Coturnix japonica: one gene and its partner. The protein of the gene in region 2 purifies or fractionates together with the protein of the main gene of each other region. This does not show direct contact. Links are inferred from orthologs where the notes say so. Each region holds a gene or a part of one and is shown on either strand. Other genes may lie near its edges. The genes, in order: TTC1 and LIMK2.

Evidence for each region.
Region 1: the proteins of LIMK2 (region 2) and TTC1 purify together in Homo sapiens (affinity purification with mass spectrometry; 3 studies listed by BioGRID and IntAct, counting the BioPlex papers as one, with this or other methods). This does not show direct contact. The link is inferred for Coturnix japonica from reciprocal best matches to the Homo sapiens genes LIMK2 and TTC1.

Annotation. Positions count from the first base shown.
Region 1 is NC_029528.1:10,003,851-10,007,661, reverse strand, and holds part of TTC1 (tetratricopeptide repeat protein 1), read left to right. Parts: intron 1-2,898; coding exon 2,899-3,032; 3' UTR 3,033-3,811.
Region 2 is NC_029530.1:8,042,287-8,046,722, reverse strand, and holds the start of LIMK2 (LIM domain kinase 2), read left to right. Parts: upstream 1-1,492; 5' UTR 1,493-1,514; coding exon 1,515-1,638; intron 1,639-1,863; coding exon 1,864-1,963; intron 1,964-4,436. UniProt on the Homo sapiens protein: Serine/threonine-protein kinase that plays an essential role in the regulation of actin filament dynamics. Acts downstream of several Rho family GTPase signal transduction pathways.

The DNA of each region.
Region 1 (3,811 bases), on a different chromosome or scaffold from region 2:
TAAGAGGTTTTTCTTTGGGGGAAGGGAAAGGTTGGGCTTAACTACTGATCTTAATTTAGGGATGAAAGGAGAATGGGGGAGGAAGAAACAGTGCTTTCCTGCAATGATGGGTTTATGCACTGCAAACAGCGGGAACAATGCTTTGGGCTTGAGTTCCTGGAAAAGGCAAGGCTTTCTTCTGCTTTATTAACATTTTAATTAACGTGGCTGCACCAAGAGGCAGTGCTGTATGTAGACTTCAGTGGCAGAAAAGAATGGTGAGCTGTAATCATGTTGCTTAATGTATAGTCACAGCTTGGGTGAGCTTAGAGCCTTAGCTTCTCCCAGAGAACTGGCGTAACTACAAGTAAGAATTGCCAAGGCAGTTAGTCCGTGTATATGCTCTAGTATGAACGGAAAAGAGCCATCACACTAACTGCCACTAGAAAAGGCCTTTCAGTGTTTCCTGAAACAGGCAAACTCGTCTGCCTGCTCCTGAGCCAGCTGCAGTGCTCGGATAACTTGTAAACTGTTTACAACTGGCTGTAGGAATGCCAGAATATGCCAGGATTCTTCCACCACCAGACAAAGACACTTCTCACCCAAAAAAAAAGTGAAGCTAAGCAATGACTGATTGTTTGTCTGAAAGCACAATAGAAACTATTCATCCCCATCCTAGAGACACTATGAATATCTTTGTCGTTTTATACCCAGAGTGCTTTTAGGATGAAGTGTAAAATTATGAACTCGACTTAGTACTTTATTTACACTGAACAGTGTGGCTTAAAAAAATAAATCTGTAGAAGGAAGCTAACCCTAAGTGAGCCACCCAATGGAGTAACCTTGACCAGATCACTCAATTACCTCGTCTGTTCATCCAAACAGGAAAATAATATTAATAAAAACAAAAAGCAAAATCCCATCCAACTAACGAGCTGCTTTTGTAGACAAGGGTTGCCTTTTTTCACACAGAAGACCTCAGAATTTCCATTTTGACTCTCAGAGGCCACTAAACATAATTGCACAGATATCTGAAAGATACCCAGTTGTGAACCTGCACTTTGATGCAAGATCTTTACTTACACTGGCTAATATTTAGAAGTACTGTAGTAACGATAACTGTTAGTTTCCCTACGCAGGATTGAGCTGTTCCTCAGACTGAAATGCTGGCGTTTTTTTACTATCATTTCTTTTTGTATTTTCTATGAATGTTTTCTAAAAGGTTCCCTGCTCTAATTTGGTTTTGCAAACGTGATTGGAATTAGTCTATTTTGAATTACTGGGGCAGCATTTAACCCGGCTTCAACAGTTGCCAGATAGTCTGCCCCTTGTCTCTTATATCTATTGAATAAGTTCAGACTTTGATACTGTTTCTGTTTTGAGTACAGTCACAGGGTTGCAGCATGGTGCAAGGCAGATGACTTGATCTGTTTGTACTCTGTGTACCATAAATACCATTCATGTCTTTTTGCAAAGGACTTGCATGGAACTTCACTCCTTACCTTGATGTATTTTGTCACTGCTGTGAAGTTACTACTTCAGTCTGGCTTAGCAAGAAAGCTCTAACTCAGTCCAGATTGTTTGCTGCAGTGCAGCGATAAAACTTAGCTAATAGCAGTAATAATTACTGCACTTCTGAGGAGAACTTGTCCTGGGTGCCACCTTAAGCAAAAGAACCTAGCAGAAGCATAGGAATGGAATGGTAACGGTTCTTATGACTTTGCTGTTGTATCCTAATACTTACTGTAGAAATAGAAGCAAAGGTAGAGATGACATCTAGAATAACATGTGCACTGCTTGTGTCTAAGATTGCTTTAAGAAAGTGCACACATGTGGGTTAGGAACAGCCAGGAGGAACGTAACATTTTTCTTGGAGAAGCAGCCATCCCTTCTGCCTTGTCATGCCAAGAGATCAGCTGCTTGTCTTCAGCCTGCACTGAAGGTGTTACTTTTGCCTCTTGTTTAATTTTATGCATTTTACCTATTCTATGATCTCTGTTTAGATATGATTTTTTTTGAAGGATGTCCTTTTGTTGTCCTTCTCCTTTTATAGGTGGTAGGAACTATTGTTTAGTAGAGTCAGACAGCTTGTGTGGTGTATATATTAATAGTAGCCTTTGGATTTTAACTGTTGTACCTTATGTATATTTAATCATGCTCGTTAAATAACGGTTGCTTAGAATTCCTAGCAGGGATGAGTTAGCTGCAGAGAACTGTAGTTTTGAACATGGGTTCCTGATGCCAGGATGTCATCTGTCATGCTGAGAATGGTAACAAAGTTATATGCTTCAAATGGAACTGCTTAGTTAGAAGGTGCAGGTACATTGATGGATTTGTTTTAATGTTTGTTGTATCAATATACGTAATCTAGAAAGAGATCTGTAATAATTACGAGTGAGCCAGGTTTGAACTTTGGCTTTCTCTGTTTCTGTTGGCAGACTAGGAAGGTGGGCAGTTCTAATATCACTGAATGTTCACAGAACTGTAACTGCACCAAAGTGGCAGGAACTGAAAAATTTATGTTAAAAAACAGAGTGTTGGCAGGTATCAAATTATATCCAAGGCTAATTTTTTTGTGTGCTGCTAAGGTCCTGTAAGGAGCAATTATGACAGAGGAAATAAAGAACTACAAGGTAGCCAGAGACAGATGGTGTCTGCAGCCACTGTGTCAGGGCTGCCTGACAGACCTGGCAGAATCTGAACTGATCTGCTTTCAGCTCCAGAGCTGACATTGACTACAGCACAACTGGAACTTTTTTTGTTCATACAGGAGCCTAAATATCCAACTGACTGGAGAGATTTCTGCAGCATTTACCTTGAATTAGTAGATAAATTAGTGGAGCTGGAGTGTGTAGTTGGGCATCATTCAGTGGGAGTTTTCCCTCTGCTTACTACTCACGTATTTCTTTTTCATTGTAGGCAAACTGAAAGATCTTGGGAATTTGGTTCTCCGCCCCTTTGGCCTGTCAACAGAAAATTTCCAGATAAAACAGGATTCATCAACTGGCTCATATTCCATCAATTTTGTTCAAAATCCAAATAACAATAGATAACGTGAATATTCAGCTTAGTTCTGCTGGCTTTCAGGCATCGTGACCATGTGCTTGCACGCTCCAATACAAGGATTCATCAGACATTCTTCACTCTATCCAAGTGAAGATAGACTCAAGCAAATTCATTTCCCTGCTTATAAATTATTTACAATGTGGATGTAAAGAAAGTCGGTTGACTTCTTTTAGTGATAACTATGTCCTGTGTGTGATTCTTCACTTGCAGTATTTGGCTTGTCCACCAGTCAGGTACATTATTTTGGCCCATTCAATACTGGCAAGAAAATTCTAGCAAGCAGTTCAGTTGAATGAAAATGCCCGTGCACCTGTGGCCAAGAAAAAAGCCAAATGGTGTCTTGGGGAAATTAACAAATCTAGCAGAAGCACATCTCCTCGTTCAGGAGGTGGATGTGACTGGCAGCATGCATAGAAGCAAGCCGACCTCCTCTGTGGAATATATTTTCTTGGTAATAAAGGCTTAGTATTTCTGTTGGGTTGAATGTGAAGTTTTTGCCTTGTCTGAATCCTTTCCATGGTGGCAGTGTTGTTTGAAATTCTTATATCTACCCACAAATAACATACATACATGACAGTAATTTGATGCACTTGAGGTGGTTTTTTTTTCTTGCTTATCTCAACATCAGTAAATTATCCTCAGGATACTCTTTGTTTACTTTTATTTTTTTAATAGATATTTATTTTCTTTTGAAGGAGATACAGAAGCCGTGTAATGTTACATATACACCTTGGAAAGGTCACATAAAGTTCGGGAAATCTGCTTC
Region 2 (4,436 bases):
GCGCTGCCGTTTCTTTGTGCTCGGCGGACGGTGATGCACCGGGCCGAGGAGCTGCTGGGCAGGGTGCGGGTCGGGACCGGCGGACTCCGCGCTCCCGCCGCGTGTGGAGAGTGGGGCTGAGGGCGTGGCCGCGCCGCGATTGGCTCCCACCGCGGAAAGGGCGGGCTCGCTCCCTCCGACGGAGCACGGCGATTGGCTCGTATCCGTGAGGGAGGCGGAGCGCCGATTGGCCTGCGGCGAGGAAGGGGGCGGGGCCTCCCCCGGGGCGTGGCGCGGCGCCGAGCGGCTGCTGGCGGGACGGCGGGACGGCGGCGGGAACGCGGCCCAGGTGCGGCGCGGCCGTGACGTCACGGGACAGCGGCCATGGCGGGGCCGGCAGGTGAGAGACGCGGGGCGGGCGGGGCGCTGCTGGATGTATTGGGTGTACCGGGTGTGCTGGGCGCTGCGCATCGCTCGGGGCCTGCGGCGGAACGCGCCGCTTCCTGCCCTGACTGCCGGGCGGAGCTGCGGGGTCGGGCCCCGAGATACCGGCTGCGGCGCTGCGGGATTCTGGGCCCTCCGCGTCCTTGAGCCGCTCCGTGCGCCGGTCTCTGCCCGCTGCTCGCAGTCACTGAGCGCTGCCCTGTCCCGCTGAGCGCGGAGCCCCGTGGCTGTGCCTGATCCCCGCAGGCAGCAGCACGCTCTGAACTTAAAGCATCGCACTTACAGGCTGTGGGTGAGGGCAGCATCGTGCTCACGGACAGGCGTCCCTCGTAGCGCTGAGCTCTCCATCCTCTGCAGCTTCCCCCCCCGGCAGCAGGCAGCTGCTGTAGCGCAGTGATGGCAGGGCAGTGAGGGCAGCTCCCTTCGGTGGGAGCAGTTATTTGGTCCATGTAAGAGCTACCTGACATTTCAGGGTGAAGCTGCAGAGAAAAGCCTCAGACAGAAGGGGCAATTACTGAGCAACTGCTGGGTTTTAACGCTCTTTAGAAACTGTAAGTCTGTGGTTAGTGGTTTTCCTTCTCTAAGCGCGTTTCTTTCCTTACACATCTCTCTTGCAGCCAGCTTGCAGTAGCAGAAGGAAGCAGATCAGTGCCCAGCAGCACGACATGTCCTTTGTGCCATCCTGCGCTCATCCACATCCTCGGCTTTCTCTTAGATGTGCCCAAACAGCAGCTTGGCTCTCAGATAGCATTTCTCTGTGCCAAATTAGTGCTAGATTCTTTGTACTGTTTTTTTCTTTCCCAGTCTTTATGCATCCTGCCCGTTTCTGGGGCTTTAGGACTTCTTGACCATTGCTGGCATTTTCTGAAGGCACAGCAGGCAGTGGCAGCTGCTCCTCTTGCTAAGCCTGGCTGCAGTGCAGTGCTGGTCATACAGACTCTGCAGGAATATCCTTCTGAGTGTGTAATTCCTTCCTGGTGGCCAAGTTGTTCTCTGCTGAATAAGGTTTGTCTTTCTTCCTGTTCTGGGAAATCCATTTAATCACCCAAAAGTGCACAAATGTTATGTGCTGAGTCAGTGGCAGGAGGGGAATGGTAACGTGGCTTCCTGGCACAGCGTGGCTCCCTGTAGGGATTGTCACACTTGGCCCATCTCCACCTGAAATCTCTGCTCTGAGCAGTGGTGCAGCTCTAACGGTGCCATCTCCTGTGAAAGGTAACCTTGTTTTCTCCTGCAGAATGTGAAGGAGCACATGATGGTGTCAGGTCTGGAGGGAAAAAAACAGGGGTTTAGGATATTAGAGTCCAATTTGGGAACTCTAAACATTGGCGCTTATGGTCTGCCTGGTGTAATTCAGGGCTGTTCTTTATCAGGCATGGAGCAATCCTTGTTTTCTTTGATGTAAAACGGTTGTTGATGTGGCCTTATTCCTGTATACAGGTGAAGAAGTCTGGAGATGCCTGGGATGTGGGGACCTCATTGCTGCTGGTCAGCGCCTCTACAGGACAGTTAATGAAGCTTGGCACGTTTCCTGTTTCCAGTAGGTGCAACTTTACAGCCAATTGTACTCTTGGAGGATGGTGGATGCAGTACTGACAGTAACAGGGGCTGGTCTTGAGGCCATACCCTGCTGTCAGCTCTATGTCTGACCTGCTCTGCAGCCCGTGGCAGAGGCAGTGTGCTGCCGGTCATTGCCGTGCTTCAATACCCACAGCAGCCCTTTGGAACTGACCTTCAGTTCTGGCAGCAGTCTGGTGCTGCCTGGCCAGGAGCTGACACACACACGTATGGGAATACAGATAAAGTATAAATGGAGGCTCTGATTTGCTGGTGGTAGCAGAAGCCGCAGGTTGTGTCTTTGTCTGCACTAGCATTCAGAGGTACAACCCAGGCCACCTGAGCTCCTGTCGCTGTTTCCATATATATTGCAGGAGCAATATCAGGGTGTTGGGAAAGCTGCTGATCTGGCAGAGGGGGCTCTTGCCTTTTTCACAAATACTCATTCTAGTTTTCGTGCTCCAGAATTGCATTTCTGAAAGGAGCAGGAGCTTCTGCTGGCTTCTGGGTACGAGTGACTATGTCATGAATGTGCAGAGGTTAATGTGTTGGACCCTGTTAAAGCAAATAGAGGGTAAAAGAAGGCAAAGTGCGGCTTTGGAGGAATGTTTGCTGTGCTGAGACAGGCATCTGTCCCATTGTGTTTAATTTATTACTACAAAAAGACTTTGTTGAATTATTATGCTTCTTGGTGTATATATATATATATATATATATATATATATATATATATATATATATATATATATATGTAAAGCAAAGCATAGCAGGCTGCCAAAGCAATGTTAGCTCTATTGATTTGGAAAGCGTTGTTTGTTAGAATGCCTTGTTAATCACAGCTACTGCTCCATGTTGCTGCAAATCCGACTCTTTCTGCTTTCTGTTGGTCCGAGTGTTCATGTTCAGCTGTGTTGTGTCAGTTTCTCTAAGCCCTGTTTTTCTCTTCTCTCTTCCAAGCTGGAGTCCTGCTGTGGAGCTTCTCAACATTCTCCCAGTTAGCCAAACTCTAATTTGTGTGTGCAAGTCTTTCTTCTATGCCTCCTCTTGTACTATTTCTGATGCGAGTCCTGATTTGTAAATGCCTGGGTGCTTCTTGTAGAGGTGAATGACAGCTGAGCTGCAGGCAAACCACCCTTAGTGGCACCAGAGAATTTTATGCTGTAGTTTATATTGTAGAACAGAAGTCTTTTGTTTTTTTCTTCCTTTAGGTTTTCCTATTTACCTGCAATAGAAAGGCAGGTAATGGCTTTTCTCCTCAGATGTACAGTAACTTGCTGATGCTCTTCTCTTATGCTCATTACTTTTGGCTAGCTCTGCTGCCCAGCTTCGAGGCCGTGCTGAGTGAACAATTGGAACCTGCAGCAAAGGAAGCTGCCCTTCCCTTTTTCCCCGTTCCAGGCTAGCATTGCTCATGCAAACAGAGTTTGCGCTCTGCTCTCCTTTCTTTTCTGTTATCCCCAAACCATGCTGGGCAGCAGTCTTGTGCTCGATATCCCAAAGCCAAGTTTTAAAAAGCCTCTAATGGTAGGAGCCTTTGGCAGCCTGTAGCTGTGAGTTCCGGCAGCTCTTGTGGAGTGTTTTTTACAGTCTTCCTGTGGATTAGCTGCGTCTCTGGCCTGGCACATGATTTCTCTAATGCTGATTGGCATTGATCCAGTCTTGTTAGCTCTGTTAAGCTTGTTAGCTTGGTCAGGCGAGGCTGCTGATCATGCTTGGCACTGGTGGTAGCTGACGTACGTGCATGTCTCTGAGGATTTAAGTTTTTTGTCACTTCCCTCCTTCCTCAAGCTGCATGTACAGGAGCTTTGACCCTGAAACCCATGTTTTCTCTGATGTGACTTGGAGGGAAAAGCAAATCCCTATTCATATATCTTGGATATTTTACACTGTTCTTTGGCTAGCTGATCCTTAGGCTTGAATCTGTTGGGTTAGAGCTGGCTGTGGAGTCTTCTTTTAGATGTTTCTGACATAATCTCTGTTGTGAATTAACTCTGAATGTGCTTTTTTTTGCCTCTGAGATCTGTTGAGTTAGGATCCATTTCAATGGTCTTTTTTTTTTTTTAACTGATAAGTGGCTTCCCTGGATTTGGAGCATATATTGCACAGACTTAGCAAAGGAAATACAGAGGTGGCATGCTGCCTTTTTCCTAGATTTGGATCGCTTTTACCAGAGGGAATTATTGGAAGAAGAATGTGTTTGTCTCTTACTACCTATACCATGCTGTTCTTTTAGCTTTCAGTCCATTTTGTCCATATTACAAAACAGAAGGTGCTGCCTTATATGCTGTTTTGATGTCCGTTGTTTTGTTGATTCTCCCTCCCCACAGATAAAGACAGCATTAAAACAATTCCCTCTTTTTATAGGGATGTTGCACATTTACACACCTGAGGGATGGGATCCAGAGAGATGTAGGCAGGTTGAGCAGTGGGCTCATGTGAACCTTGTAAGGTTCAAC